Linked DNA regions of Rattus norvegicus. The protein of the gene in region 2 interacts with the protein of the main gene of each other region in a pairwise test. Links are inferred from orthologs where the notes say so. Each region holds a gene or a part of one and is shown on either strand. Other genes may lie near its edges.

The links.
Region 1: the proteins of Cyth4 (region 2) and Fos interact in a two-hybrid assay, tested with the Homo sapiens proteins (2 studies listed by BioGRID and IntAct). The two-hybrid records come from large-scale screens. The link is inferred for Rattus norvegicus from reciprocal best matches to the Homo sapiens genes CYTH4 and FOS.

What each region holds. Positions count from the first base shown.
Region 1 is NC_086024.1:110,848,465-110,856,396, reverse strand, and holds Fos (protein c-Fos), read right to left. Parts: upstream 4,210-7,932; 5' UTR 4,058-4,209; coding exon 3,917-4,057; intron 3,157-3,916; coding exon 2,905-3,156; intron 2,500-2,904; coding exon 2,392-2,499; intron 2,279-2,391; coding exon 1,637-2,278; 3' UTR 1,343-1,636; downstream 1-1,342. UniProt on the Homo sapiens protein: Nuclear phosphoprotein which forms a tight but non-covalently linked complex with the JUN/AP-1 transcription factor. In the heterodimer, FOS and JUN/AP-1 basic regions each seems to interact with symmetrical DNA half sites.
Region 2 is NC_086025.1:112,047,439-112,054,664, reverse strand, and holds part of Cyth4 (cytohesin-4), read right to left. Parts: intron 3,349-7,226; coding exon 3,237-3,348; intron 1,097-3,236; coding exon 1,020-1,096; intron 248-1,019; coding exon 176-247; intron 1-175. UniProt on the Homo sapiens protein: Promotes guanine-nucleotide exchange on ARF1 and ARF5. Promotes the activation of ARF factors through replacement of GDP with GTP.

The DNA.
Region 1 (7,932 bases), on a different chromosome or scaffold from region 2:
GCTTTTGGAAGTTGTCCCATGACCTCAAGTGCCGTAGTACATGAATGCCCTCCCCACATAAATAAATATATATTTTAATTATTTTTTAAAGAGGCAGTTCAGCCTAATGGACAGGAGGGGGAAGCGGCAATTGGGTTTGCAGTGTGGAAGGAAGGTGGCTTATTTCAACTATTCTTCAGTTCACTCACTTTTAAGATAAAAGTAACTCTTCCCTTGATTTCATGGGAATAAGATGCTAAACTTGCTGGTTGTCTGTAATAACCACCACTGTCAGGGTTGAGGCAAGAGGACTGCTGGGAGTTGGGAGGCTACCCTGGACCACCTAGCAAGATCCTATCTCCAACAATACCAAAATAATAATAATAATAATAATAATAATAATAACAACAACAACAACAACAATAATAATAATAATAATAATAATAATAATAATAAAGGAGAAAAGTTTGCATAGAGCTAGGCTCTGTTCAAAGGATCCCTTTCCCAGGAAAATCACTAAGGCGAAGATAGGCAAATACATTTAAGGATGCTCCCTCCAGAGAAGCAGGAAGGCACGTCAGCCTTGCACAAGCTGTTACAGGCAACTCTCAGCCCCCAGGGCAGGCAGGTAGAAAATCTTAGCAATGCAATATGAACACACATATCTGTAAAATACCCTGAACTAGCGTTTCCTCTGAGTGATAAGGGAACAGAGGGCGTGTCCCCCTCCAGGACCCACCCATCTTGACAAACTGGTCTCTCTCCAAGGCCTTCCCGAAACTTCCAAAACTCTCAGAATAAAAGAGCAACGAGGTGGTCGCATTCAACTTAAATGCTTTTATTGACAATGTCTTGGAACAATAAGCAAACAATGCTTAAAATTTTTTCATTCAAATTCACTTTCCACATGTCGAAAGACCTCAGGATAGAAAAAAATAAAATAAAAATATAAATATCTGAGAATCCATCTTAATAAATAAATTGAAAACACAATAAAACGTTTTCATGGAAAACTGTTAATGTCAGAACATTCAGACCACCTCAACAATGCATGATCAGTTACATGACAATGAACATGGACGCTGAAGAGCTACAGTACGTGGATATAGCGATTTATTTCTATCTACCGGAAAATAAAGTTCTATCTTTTCTTAGTTTAATATTGGTCATTTCTAAATTGGAACACACTATTGCCAGGAACACAGTAGGTATTGTTAAAATCAGCTGCACTAGATACAATCCGAAAAATATCCAGCACCAGGTTAATTCCAATAATGAACCCAACAGATTAGTTAATGCTATGAGAAGACTAAGGAGAAAGAGAAAAGAGACACAGACCCAGGCCTGGCTCACATGCTACTAACTACCAGCTCTCAGGTGTCACTACAAACAATACACTCCATGCGGTTGCTTTTGATTTTTTGTTTTGTTTTTTTTTTGTTTTGTTTTTTTGTTTTTTTGCTACATCTCCGGAAGAGGTGAGGACTGGAGTCCAGATGTGGATGCTTTCAAGTCCTTGAGGTCCACAGCCTGGTGTGTTTCACGCACAGATAAGGTCCTCCCTAGGTCTACGGGAACCCCTCGAGGGAAGACTTGTTTCTTCTCTCTGTAATGCACCAGCTCAGTCAGTGCCGGCTGCCCTGCCTTCTCTGACTGCTCACAGGGCTAGCAGTGTGGGCGAGCTCAGTGAGTCAGAGGAGGGCTCGTTGCTGCTGCTGCCCTTTCGGTGGGCAGCTGCGCAGCTAGGGAAGGAGTCAGCCTCGGGGTAGGTGAAGACAAAGGAAGACGTATAGGTAGTGCAGCTGGGAGTGCAGGTGACAACGGGAGTGCACAGGGGCTCCAGCTCTGTGACCATGGGCCCCATCCCCAGGGAACTGCTGTGCAGAGGCTCCCAGTCTGCTGCATAGAAGGAACCAGACAGGTCCACATCTGGCACAGAGCGGGCAGTCTCCGAGCCACTGGGCCTAGATGATGCCGGAAACAAGAAGTCATCAAAGGGTTCAGCCTTCAGCTCCATGTTGCTAATGTTCTTGACCGGCTCCAAGGATGGCTTGGGCTCAGGGTCATTGAGAAGAGGCAGGGTGAAGGCCTCCTCAGACTCTGGGGTGGTAGCCTCAGGCAGACCCCCAGTCAAGTCCAGGGAGGTCACAGACATCTCCTCTGGGAAGCCCAGGTCATTGGGGATCTTGCAGGCAGGTCGGTGGGCTGCCAAAATAAACTCCAGTTTTTCCTTCTCTTTCAGTAGATTGGCAATCTCGGTCTGCAACGCAGACTTCTCGTCTTCAAGTTGATCTGTCTCCTGCACAGAGATGTAAGAAAGCATAAGACACAGGTTTCCTCAAGGACCCTGACCCCATAGTCCCAACCTCCAACTTTAATAAAGTTTCAGGAGCAGCAGCTGGTTCAACCTACCGCTTGGAGCGTATCTGTCAGCTCCCTCCTCCGATTCCGGCACTTGGCTGCAGCCATCTTATTCCTTTCCCTTCGGATTCTCCGTTTCTCTTCCTCTTCAGGAGATAGCTATAAGAAAAGGACCAACATTCAATAAGGTGGTCTAGTGTCACCTCTGTTCAGTCACCCCAGTGAAACTGGCTCCTACAGCACCCGCACCTCTCACGGTGAAGCAGTTTTTCTAACCTGCAGTTGGCAGGCTGAGTGTGATTTGCATTTAAAGTGAGATCTTTAGGAGGGGAACAAAGAAGCTCCCAAGCTAGAGAATGTGGTTGGAAGCTGTCAGGGAAACTAGAGTATTTCTTGGGGCCAACTGTCAGTGTCTGACGAGGGTGGGAAAGGGCTGCAGCCACGGTCCCTGGTCAGGAAGTGCAGTCAGTAGCGTAGGGTTTCACCCACTCTGCCGTGTCGCCTGTGCGTCCGTCCCCCCCGCCCCCCCCCAACTCCCCGCGCAGGTCCAGAATCGCTACTCACCTGCTCTACTTTGCCCCTTCTGCCGATGCTCTGCGCTCTGCCGCCTGACATGGTCTTCACCACTCCCGCTCTGGCGTAAGCCCCGGTCGACGGGGTGGGGAGTCCGTAAGGATGGGGCGCTCTGGTCTGCGATGGGGCCACGGAGGAGACCAGAGTGGGCTGCACCAGCCACTGCAGGTCTGGGCTGGTGGAGATGGCTGTCACCGTGGGGATAAAGTTGGCACTAGAGACGGACAGATCTGCGCAAAAGTCCTGAAACAAAACAAAAAGAGGAAAGCGGAGGTGAGCGAGGAGGTTCCAGACACAGGTGGAGCAAGTGGCCCTAGTGTCGCATGAAGCAGGGAGAGAGAAGCATTCTGGTCAGAGACTGCTTGTGTCTTCCTGTATGCACTTCATCCGAGATAAAAAGGTCTCCCAATATCCTCTATCCTCCCCTGAATTCCGCAGCTCAGCCTTTCTCCTCCATCCTACTGCTGCGTTCCCGTTATCCCTTCAGCATCACTCGCTCGAAAGGGGGTTTGTTATAAATATCCCTGACGTCTGCGCTGACGCAGGCGCTGCTCCGGAGTCTCCAGAATGAACTCGCTTTTTATCAATGAAACTGCCTTACACACCGGCTCGCAGCACCCTCCTCCCTCCTCCCTTCTCCCTGCTCCAGGCTGCCCCGGGAGGGGGGATTGCCGCCGTTTGCCGCCTCCCAGGCTCTAGTTAGCGAGTCTTTGCTAGAGACTTGTTGGCCCCGGCTGATCTCAGAAACAAGTCACCGAGAGAAGAGCGCAGGACACTCAGAGTAAACCTGCCGCGCGGGAGGGGGGTCACTAAGTCTTAGTATGACAAGTGTGCACGCGCTCAGACAAGTCCTGGGTTCCCAGGCTAGGGCTGCTCTGACCGCGCCAGTCTCCCTCCGGAGCAAACAAGGAAGACCCCTACTCTTCCCTGACAGTCACACCCCAATGTGCCCTCCTCGGCGACCCCCAGCGCGGACCTGGCGACTGCACAAAGCCAAACTCACCTGTGTGTTGACAGGGGAGCCCATGCTGGAGAAGGAGTCGGCTGGGGAATGGTAGTAGGAAAGGCTGTCCCCGGCCGGGGAGGCGCTACTGCAGCGGGAGGATGACGCCTCGTAGTCCGCGTTGAAACCCGAGAACATCATGGTCGTGGTTTGGGCAAAGCTCGGCGAGGGGTCCAGGGGTAGACACTGGTGGGAGCTGCAGAGCAGAGCTGGGTGGGAGCGCGGTCACTGCTCGTTCGCGGCTCCGCCGGCTCTATCCAGTCTTCTCAGTTGCTAGCTGCAATCGCGGTTGGAGTAGTAGGCGCCTCAGCTGGCCGCTTTATAGAAGCGCTTGAATGGCTTACTACGTCATGAGCGGAACAGAGAAACTGGAGGGGGGAAAGCGCTCCCGAATGCCCTCTGCGGGCTCCCTGTCATCAACTCTACGCCCCAGGCTCTCAACCCCCGTCTCAGTCTGTAACTTTCACCTATGAGTGTTCACAATTGGGATCTTAGAAGGTCTCCTGGACCCTCCGCATGTAGGATTTCGGGGATGGTTCCCCCCAGGACAACAGGGACCGGCCGTGGAAACCTGCTGACGCAGATGTCCTAATATGGACATCCTGTGTAAAGGAGGGAGGGATTGACGGGAACAGCTCGCCGGCTGCAGCCAACTCTGAGGGTGCAGCGCAAGGGGGGAGCGGGGGCCGCGGCCGGGGGAGGGGAGGCGGGAAAGGCAGAGAAGGCGAGCGAACATTCGCACCTGATTCAATGTGTACTCTGTTCCCAGGGTCAGGGGATGAGACTGGGGGTCATCTCCTTTCCATTGTCCAGCAATCTGGAGCTTTTTAAAAAAGTCTCTGGTATTAGGAGAAGCAGGCACGCAGCCCTAAAGGCTCCAAGTCTCTGTTCCCAAAGGAAAGCTAGCCCACATCAGACCTCTCTCCGTCCCAAATCAGTGCAACATTAGGCCTGAGGTTGGAAGCAGTAAGTGAAGGATTCTAAGTAAGTATTCAATAACCCGCTTTACCTACAATACTGAGTTCATTCATACATTCGTGTTTTAAAGGACGACAGCACCCACTCCCCGACCCTTGGCCACTTAGAACAATCAGGGTGACTGTCCCGGGAGACACTGACGGATAAACATTGTGCAAAACCACCCTGCAAGGATGCCTGAAGGGGTCGTTTGCTCAGTTTTGAGCGGAGGCCAGAGGGCGAGTGAAGGCAGGGGTCTGCTCAGAATTACAAGTGAGGTGAGCTCCCGGGAAGAAGGCAATTCGGTGCACAGGGGAGGTGGGGACCTGAATCCGTGCAGCCTGGAAACTGCGCTTACAAGGAACCCGCAGCGGGTGATTTTCCAGTTCGGACTTGGGGAGGGGGGGATGGGGGAGGAGGGGAGGACGGACTGGAAGCACGGTTCCCAGCTGTGCAGAGATGTTGGCGTCTGCTTTGAGCACAGCTTTGAGTCTTGGAAGATGGAACTTTGGAGATGCCGGGTGCTTCGGTGTAGAACAAACACACCCCTACTTGCCCTCAGTCTCCTGTCCTTCAGCAGAGGACAAGCCGGGTTAGACTGACTGGGCTCGGCCCCAGAGCGCTGGTCACCTCTGGGAAAGGAAACCGCAGATCCTCGCAGAACTCATGTGTCCCCTCTTCTCCATTCTGTGGATCCCAAGGGTCAAACTAACTGGTGGGCATTCCGAGACGGACTAGAGAGGATTGGGGCAGCGGATGGATCTTCAGGGGCCCAAGAGGTGCAGAACCACAAACCTGCCCTGGGCCGCCGCACCCGGGAGCTAGGCGATTTTGCTATAGATAGTAACAGCGAAGCGGCTGTTTACAGCAACACAGCGCCGCCAGGGCCGTCTCCAGGCGACGCCGCGCGGCCGGGCTCACGGTCCGCCCATCCAGGCCACCCGCCCTCCCTGCTCCCCAAGAGCCGTGGCCTCCCTGGCCAGGCTGCGGCCGCTCCGCCGACTGACATCACCCTCGGGTTGGGGGGCCGATCCCGGCTGGCTCCTGCCTATGCGCTAGCCTCCATTCTTAGAGATCCAAACCCAGCAGGAGCGGGGAGGGCAGGGAGGCGGGGATTCGTGGAAATAGGCCACTTGCTATTTTTGCATTCCCTGTCACAGGCAGAGGTGAAAACAGAATTTCATCATTGTATGTCATTAGTTTATGTTGGTGTGAATTTAGGCGCTTTTTTTTCTCACTCGAAAGAGGGGGAAGGGAAAGAGGACAACATGATGTAGAAACACAGGCTTCGTATAGCCGGTCAATCCTGAAGCGATTTCATTGGCCTTCAGTTCTCTGTGAATTCTAGTCTGTCATGTGCTTTCACTGTTCTTTACTATGAAAGGAAGAGACAGAAAGATTATGCAGACCTCTTCCCTCTTATTAGTTTCGACAAAGTAGGTCAACCTTTGAATTCCTGGTTCTGTCTGGCCTTGCCTTCCACTCATAACCACATCTCAGGGGCTCTTGGAGAAAAACCACAGTGATTTGATTTTATTTCCTTTTCAGGTTTGAAGCAGCTCTGGCCAACACCTCAAAGATGTGTCAAGATTTTATATCCAGGATTTATCTCGTACATCACTTACTTTGGCAATTAAAAACGAAAAAAAAAAAAAAAAGGTCTTTGGGTGAGCCTTCTCCTCCAAATAGCTTGTCTTTTTTTCCTTCTTGGCATCATTATGGCCAGAGAGTTGGACATCTAATACATCTGTCCTCTGAAAAGGACAAGCCAGAGACTGGAGAGATGACTTAGTGGTTAGAGCACTGGCTGCTTTTCCAGAGGACCCAGGTTCAAGTCCCTTGGCCACATGGCTACCCCACAGCCTGTGAGTCCAGTTCCAGGGACTCCAATGCCCTCATCTGGCATCCCTGGGCATCAGGCACACATACATTGCACATACATATATGCAGACAAAACACACACACACACACACACACACACACACACACACACACACACATATATATAACAATACAATTTTAAAAGGACAGACCATTGTCTTGTACCTTCTTGTGTTTGCCTAGCAAAGAACTATAGAAGGACTAGGACTAGGGTAGAGGCTGGCACTTCCTGTAGCGAATGGGGTGTACCTATCCTTACCTTCACATGGAGCCAGCCTCTGGGAAAGATAGATAAGTAAGTCAATAGAATATTAAGTGGCTTGACAGATCTAAGAATGGAATAGCCAGGGGCACAGTGAGGATTTCGAGACAGAATTCAGAGGAAGTGACTGCAATGCAGAGTGGGGCCTAAAACATCTCCCCTTCAGGTAAGACCAGGACTGCAAAGGTCAGATCATCATATGGGATCCAAGCCATCTAATCAGATCCTCCTGTCTCCTCCCCGACCTATAAGACACTCTTACATCTCAACTTGTTCATGGCCCCCATTCATTAGTATGAACGTCACACCTTAAAAACAGGCAGACCGGGGGTATGGCTCAGTGGCACAGTGACTCCTGATGTGCACAAGGCCCTCAGCTTGATCCCACCACTACAAAACCTGATAGCAAGCAGGAAGAAGAAATTGTGCCAAGTGTGTTGGCACAGGTATTTACAGCAGTGTTCATCACAGTAGCTAGAAACACCCGCATCCATCAACACACAAATCGATTTTTAAAATATGGTGTACACAGACAGCAAAATAGTATTTTCAGTCTTTTAAAAAATCTGTTATTTGCAATAGTATGGCGGAACCTAAAGGACATCATGCTAGGTAAAATAAGTCAGACACCAAAAAAATACATAGCATGTGATCTCACTTACATTTGAAAGATCAGTGTGGAACTCTTGGAAGAAGAGAGTAGAAACCGGATTACCAGGAGCCAGAAAGATGGTGGGCAAGTAGAAAGATACAGTTAGGCAGGAAGGATAGGTTGTGGTCTTGTATTAATAGACCATACACACACACACACACACACACACACACACACACACACACACACACACACACATGCATACATGCATGCTCACACGCATGCACTCACACATGCATGTGTACACATGCACATGTACACCCA
Region 2 (7,226 bases):
GAAGTTCCCTAGTTAGTGCCAGAGTCAAGCTCCACAAGACAACTGAGGCTTGTTCTTTCAATGACACTGTCCAAAGCTTCAGGAGACCCTACAGGAGGAGTGGTTGGGCCTCATGGAGGGTCCCACGAAGGCCCCTTCCCTCAGCCATGCAGGGAACCCCCAACTGAACCCTTACCGGCTTCTTGGGGTCATCCACCTTCTGCACAGAGAGGTTCTCCAGGGGGATGATCCCCCGAGGCTCTTTGTCCTACGGAAGCAAAGTAAGGGGCAGGAAATAATCTTGGGACCTCCTCAGGCCATCTTTGCATACTGCCTAGCCAGAGAGCGTTCAACACTAGCGCCTTGGTTGGGATCTGGAAGACCCAATTAAAAATGTCTTTTTCATTTTTTATTCTATGTGTATGGGTGTTTTGCCTGAATGCATGTAAGTGGGCCACACGTTGGGTTGGTAGTGCTCACAAAGGCCAGAAGACGGTGTCCGATTTCACTTCAGGACTGGAAGGAGTTACAGACAGCTGTGAGCCACCATGTGGGTGCTGGGAATTGAACCCAGATCCCCTGGAAGAGCAGCCAGTGTTAACTGCTGAGTCATCTCTCTAGCCCCCTACCTCTTTTACAATGTTTTTTTGAAAGAAGGATCTTGTTCTGTAGCCCAGGTTGGCCTTGACCATGTTAGGAGCTCCCATGCCTGGCCTTTAGCAACTCCATTTGCCTTGAACAATTTGTTTGTTTGTTTGTTTGTTTTCGGTGCTGGGAATTGGCCAGGGCCTCACACAAATTAGGCTCACGCTTTAACACTGATCTACAGCCCTAGCCTGGGAAACCCAACTTTAAGCCAGGCCTCTCCCCTGCCCAGCCCCTTCTCCTCTTAGTTCTCTACGTCTGTGGAATGGGACATAGGGGCACTGAACCCTCTAAAAGGGCCTAACACTCTACAGCAGTGACACTGGCTCTCTTGCGGACAGGGTCTGGTTATGTCTGGTTGTGTCCTATTCCCACCTCCCCACACACTCACTCACAGTGGTGAACTCAAAGTAGTAGAGGCAGTTGTCCGTGAGAATGAACCAGCGTCGCTTCCATGTCTTCACACGGCCCCCTGCACGAGACAGGCAGAGGGGAGGAGGGTCAGCCTTCCTCCTCCTGGGTCACCAAGTCCCCCCAGAGGACAGCCACAGAGCCTTGTGAGCATTGCTCTCCAAGCCTCCAGATCCATTCTTTCTATACCTCAAGTGTTAGCAGCTCCCAGCAACTCCCATCACCCCGTTTCCTTGGATTTGGGTTCCCAGAAATTAGGTAGAGGGACAGTGGCACTGTTCCCTGCTCTCCCAACTAATGTTACCTGACCTTTACTTGACCCCCCACCCAGACCCATGCTTGCTTTACGTGCTTGCAATGCTTAGTGTGGACTGTATGATCTAAAGTCATCAGGACAAGCCTCTGGACAGGTCCATTCACGAGAGGGTTTCCTGACTGAGTTTGCTGAGGTGGGAAGACCCCCCCTTTCAATGTGGGTAGTAAGCAGGGGCTGGACTCCGGGACTGAAAAAGGAGAGACTGAGCCTTCGTTGCTCTCTGCTTCCTGACGGTGACCCGCCTCCCCAAGCTTGTTGCAGGAGGGGCTCTTCCTCCTCAGTTGCTTTTGTTGCAGCTCTGAGACCAGTAGCTAACACAGCACTCTACCTTTGATGTATCAGGCCTTTGATGATGAAGATGTGAATCCCTGTGGCCATTCCCACCACACCCCTGGATGGCCACTGGCAATCCCATTTTATAGATGAGGAAACCAAGGCTGGGAAAAACTAGACTATGTATTCAAGTCCCTGTGCTTTTCAACTCCAGTGTCCTTGTCCTGGAGCCCAAGCTCTCAGCCATGTTGCTATGTGGCCAGCATTCTCTTGGGTCACTGCCTCCACAGTCCAACTACAGAAAGGGATGCTGAAGAGGGGGCAGTGAGTTCTGACGCCCCCTCTGCTGTCTGGCTTTGTGACCTGGAGGCTGGAAGCCAGTGCCGGGCAGCAGAGGAGGCCCAGAGGACTGTGGGAAGAGAGGCTGGGGTGACAGACAGAAGGCTTGGTGGGCATCTGGGATATGGGTAAGTCTGTCATGATCTAGGTACACAGTAAGTGATGGAGACTGCCCAGCCCAGGCATTCCTCCAAGATGAGCCATTTTTCTTCATCTGCCTTGGAAGACCCCAGTCCTTGCCTGGCTGGCCATGCTGGGTTGGCTCCTGAGGGTGTTTCCGGAGGCAGGGTTGGTTGTTTCTATCAACCATTGGAGCACCCATTGCTGCATTCACCATGGCTCTGTCTTAGTTACACCCTTCCCCCCTCCCCTCTCTCTGTCCTCCTGCTTCAGGGACATCCAGCTCTCTGCTGCCCTAGGTAGGATGCTTGCTGTCTGTGTGCTCTTGAGAAGTTCCTTTAACCTTGCTGACTCTTGGCTTCTGGAGAATGATCACCCAAATGTTCGGCTGTTCAAGGACCAGCACCTTACAGTCAGTAGTCCTGAGCAGAGCTACTCTGCTAGACTCTTCTCTCCAACCCTCTGGGAGAGAAACATCCATGGAGCCTCTGTCTCCTACTGTCCTCTAGCAGTCACCCCTGTACCCCTGTACCCCTAAGACAGATGGATGGGTAGAAGGGGAGGTGTTTTTATATATATGTGCACGAGTGGATATGTGCATGAGTGAATATATGGATAAGAAGATAGGTAGATGGATGAATGGATGATGAGCAGGAGGATGGATAAAGGAATGTGGATAGATAGGTGGGTAGATGGATGGAAGAATGAGTGGATGGATGAATGAGTAGAGGAATGGGTGGGTAGATAGATGAGAGGATAGATAGAACAATGGTGGGTAGGGGTGGATAGATTGATAGATGACTGTAACAGATGGATAGATAAACAGGCTAGGTGGAGAGGTGAATGGGACAGTTGGATAAGACAATTGGTGGGTAGGTAGATGGGTGGGTGGATAGATGGGTGAGTGGGTAGATGGGTGGGTGGGTAGATGGGTAGATGGATGGATGGGTGGATGGATGGATGAGTGCATGGGTGGTTGAGAGGAAGGATAGAAAGTGTAAGCAGACTGCTAGGCTGTGGGTTAAGAGACCCAGAGCTGTGCAGGTCCACTCCTGAGGGGTGTGTGTGTGTGTGTGTGTGTGTGTGTGTGTGTGTGTGTGTGTGTGAAACGTGTGCAGGTAAGCACATTTGAGAATGTGCATAGAGGTCTCACCCAGCTTGAGTAGCCATCCTTCACGGTCAGGATTGAAGAAGGTGTGAGTAAGGTCACTACCATCATCTTCGGGGATGGAGAAGGGCTCACTCTTGATGCTGTCAAACAGGTTCTGCCCGAGAGGAGGAAAAGGGTGGCTTCAGTTCACTGATATGGGCCCTGAACAAGTCAGCCCTCTCCTGGTAAACCCATTCCTGAGCCATTCTTGTGACCTATCCCGCCAAGTCCCTGTCCCCTCAGGTGACTGGCACTCACCTTTTGCACTGGCCACACCCAGAGCCTTGTATGCCTTCCCCTGTGTTACCCACAGGCAGAGTCAGCAGGGTGGGTGCCTTGGGTTCACACATAAGGACACTGACGCTCATTCCTACCCTCCCTGGGGACAGCAGCTGAAGTAGGAACTGCTTTGGGCAGGGCTCATGGTGGGAGATGCCTCTCTTCTATTTAGATAGACAGTAGAACCTTCTAGATAACACATGCTGGGGTGAGGCTAGAGGAGGCCTTAGGGAGGAAGGGATTGACTGCTCCAGGCTCAGAGGCCCAGTGGCAGGCAGGAGAAGTACCCAGTGTGGGGTGCTGGCCACGGTGTCTATCTAGAATGGGTTCTCATTGTAGGGATTGGGATTTAGAGGGTCCCCCTTTAGCCCTCCCTAGATGACTTAGCTGTTTAAATGTGCAAAGAGTGACCCCAGAGGTATGTGAGCCAGGGCTGAGATGGCTTCTACCCTAGGGCAGGGCGTGGGTGCAGACCCACCAGAGTGATTTGAATCTCTAGTGGGCACTGGGCTCGCCCAGCTGTGTGATTGAATCTATGGGGGTGGGCCTGGGCCATCCTCTGGCTCAGCCTTTATGTCCCCTTCCAATCTTACTGTGGTGTGGGAATGACAGGAAAGTGAGGACCCACTTTTTTGGCTGGAGTAGGGGGAGCGGTTCGTGGGGGTGGGGCGGCAGGCTTTACCTTGGGAATCCCCAAGTGGCCTGGCAGGTGGAATGAGTGTCTGGGGCAGGAAAACCATTGCAGTAGCTGAGCTGTTAGCTCAGACAACTATTAGGGAGCCTGAGGAGGCTGCAGGGCCACAGACAGGTTTTCAGCCTCTGCTAAACCCACAAGGGTACCTGAAAGTTTCTGCGGTCGCAGTAGCAAAGTTTGTATTCTGCCTCGCAAAGACGGTGCAGCACACCCACACTTCCTGTGTTTTGAAGACACCCGAGGCCCCTGTCACTGAACAAACCACTGCATAGAAAACGTCAGGGCCCTGGGTGACCCTGTGGCCCTGTTCCTAGGATTCCCTCTCCTCTCCTTTTGTCTAGGTTTACAGTGAGTTGGGTATCCCACTCCATCTCCAGATTCCAGGGAGGGACAGTGACCTCCATTTGGCTGTGTACAGCCTTGTATCCTATGTGCTATGATGACTAGTTTAAGCAGAGATACGTGACCCCAGCCAGTCAATAGGAATTCATTCCAGGAGTTTAGTTTTCTGGGCGAAGCTGGCAGCCTGGACCCACTTGGGTATCGCTGATGTAGCCAGGGTCTAGAAGAGAGCCAGGGTTCAGGGTAGCCTTGATGTGACATGTAGCTCCTTTGAACCATCAAGCCCCTGGATCTAGCCACACCTGAAGCCAACAGTCTGAGAAAAAGGGAATTCCTGTTCTTTCTTTCTAAAATCAATCAATCAATCAATCAATCAATCAATTGTATATGCACGTTCGTGTGAGGGTGTTGGATTCCTCGGAACTGGAATTACAGACAGTTATGAGTTGTCATGTGGGTGCTAGGAATTGAACCCCAGTCCTTTGGAAGAGCAGTCAATGCTCTTAACCGCTGAGCCATTTCTCCGGCCCCATCCCTGTTCTTTCCAGTGATATTAGTTGTGATTCTCCCAGTCAGTGTGACAGGACAGGAAGGCATGAAGGAAGAGGTATTACGATGTACATATGATGGGCTGGCTGAAGGGCTCAGTGGGTAAAGGCGCTTGCTGCCAAACCTAATAACCTGAGCTGGATTCTTTGGAAGGAGAGAACCAACTCCTGAGTTGACCTCTGACCTTCACAGGTGTACTGTGGCCCCATGTAAGGGACAGAACCCACAGAAGATGAGCCTCCATTTTCAAATGCTGAAGAGAACACTGCAATGTGAAGGAGCCGGAAGGGTGAGGACTGGGGACCTGCAGCTTTCGACTCTCGGTCCTGTCCCAGAAAGCCTATCTCCCTTCTCAGAAATGCCTTTTTCTTCCTTAGTAAACTCCTATCACTATCCATATGTCCCTGGTTCCGTTCTTTGTTTTAGGACACACGAGTCTGGGAACCTCAGCGGGTATCCCTTAGACCTCCTCCTCTGTGACAGCTGGAGGTAGTATGCTCAAGTCCGCTCCCCCAAACCTTCTAGCTCTTACAGGAGGCGACACTGCTTAAGCTAGGACTCTCCTGTCATAAACATGAAGCCTCAGGTCAGCTAACTCCAGTGGCACCCTGTGACCCACCGTAGCTTGACCCTGGTAATGGGGGTGGTGGTGTGGGGGTATGGGGGTGTGGGGATATGGGGGTGTGGGGGGGACCACAGTGACAGCATACCTAGGACATTGTCTGCTGTGACAGAGAGCCTAAAGAGTGGCCTAGGGAAGAGCTGTATTCATCTCCTGCCCCTGTGTCCAGCCCCTACTTCTGCACCTAAAACCTTGTAAGTACTCTGTCCCGGTTGCCTGTCCCCTACAGCTACAACACATCTCTCATAGTCTTTCCTACAAGCATACCCTCCAGGGCTGTGTGACCTTGGGGTGACCTCTCTTGGGGCATGCCTCTGTGTAAATTCACTTCTGTCTCTTGGTGTACTTAAATGCATTTTGTGGCTTCTTTGGAAGTTGAGCAACAAGGGTCCATGGAGAATTCACTTCTGCAAAGAGACAGTGTGGCACTGGGCTCTTGCTTTTAAAAAAATATTAAAACAAGGCCCAGGGGCAGGTGAGGGGAACCTAGGTTCATGTGGCTGCCGGTGAAAACCTGGGATGGCTCTCAGAGTGGGCCTGGGCACCCTAGGACACAGCTGGGAAGATTCGAACTCGCTACCCATTCGCTATGAGCTCTGCTCACTCCTGCTGGAGGGACTCCAGGACTCAGCTGCGGCTGAAAGACGGGCAGTCATGGGGTGGAGGCTCCCGTTGGCCCTGCTCTTTGCCTGCCTCTGTGCTGCTGACCAGGGCACCTGACCTCTCCCAGCCTCCTAGACAGATTGGAGGCTACCAATCTGAGGTGCCTAGCTATTACTTCCAAGAAAGTTCTAGCCTGGGGCCATGAGGAGGGGATGATGCTCTAGAGGCTGTCTGGACAGAAGGCAACAGGGGTCAGTTGGGGAGACCACGCACATTCAGGGCCCCTGTAGGAGGCATGCTGGTTCTGCTCCCAGGTATGATGCCTCTAATGTCTGTGTGTGTTCTAGTCTGCACTGAGGGCTGGGTTGGTTTTGTTTTGCTTTGTTGCTCCTTTTGCTTGTTTGTTTTGAAACAGCATCTTCTCTAACCCAGGCTAGCCTCAAACTTGCTATGTAGCCAAGAATGCTTTTGAATTCCTCATCCTCCTGCCTCCACCTCCCTGGTGCGGGATTGTAAAGTGAGCGCTAGGGACTGGACCCAGAGCCTTGCGCATGCTTGGTTAGGGTTCTGGGGTAACACCTTTGCCTCTCCCACCCGGGCACCCAAGATGGCAGCAGCATGTCTCTCTGTAGCGAAGCTCTCGTGGTCATCACAGTTGATGTCAGCTGTGGGGTTGAGTGTGGATGTGATTCATGTGTGGTCCCTTCCCACCAGACCTTGGACTTTGGACTTGGTCTAGGCAGGACCTGTGTGGAGTTAACCCTAGGTCCCTATGCCAAGAACAGGTTTTGGTGCAGTGTGGCGAGGATGCTGTGTTGGGATTAGGGGATAAGAGACTTGGGACTAAGCTTGCTGTAGAGCTAGTGAGGATTTGTGGGAGACTGGCTTTCCCCCTTTGAGCACC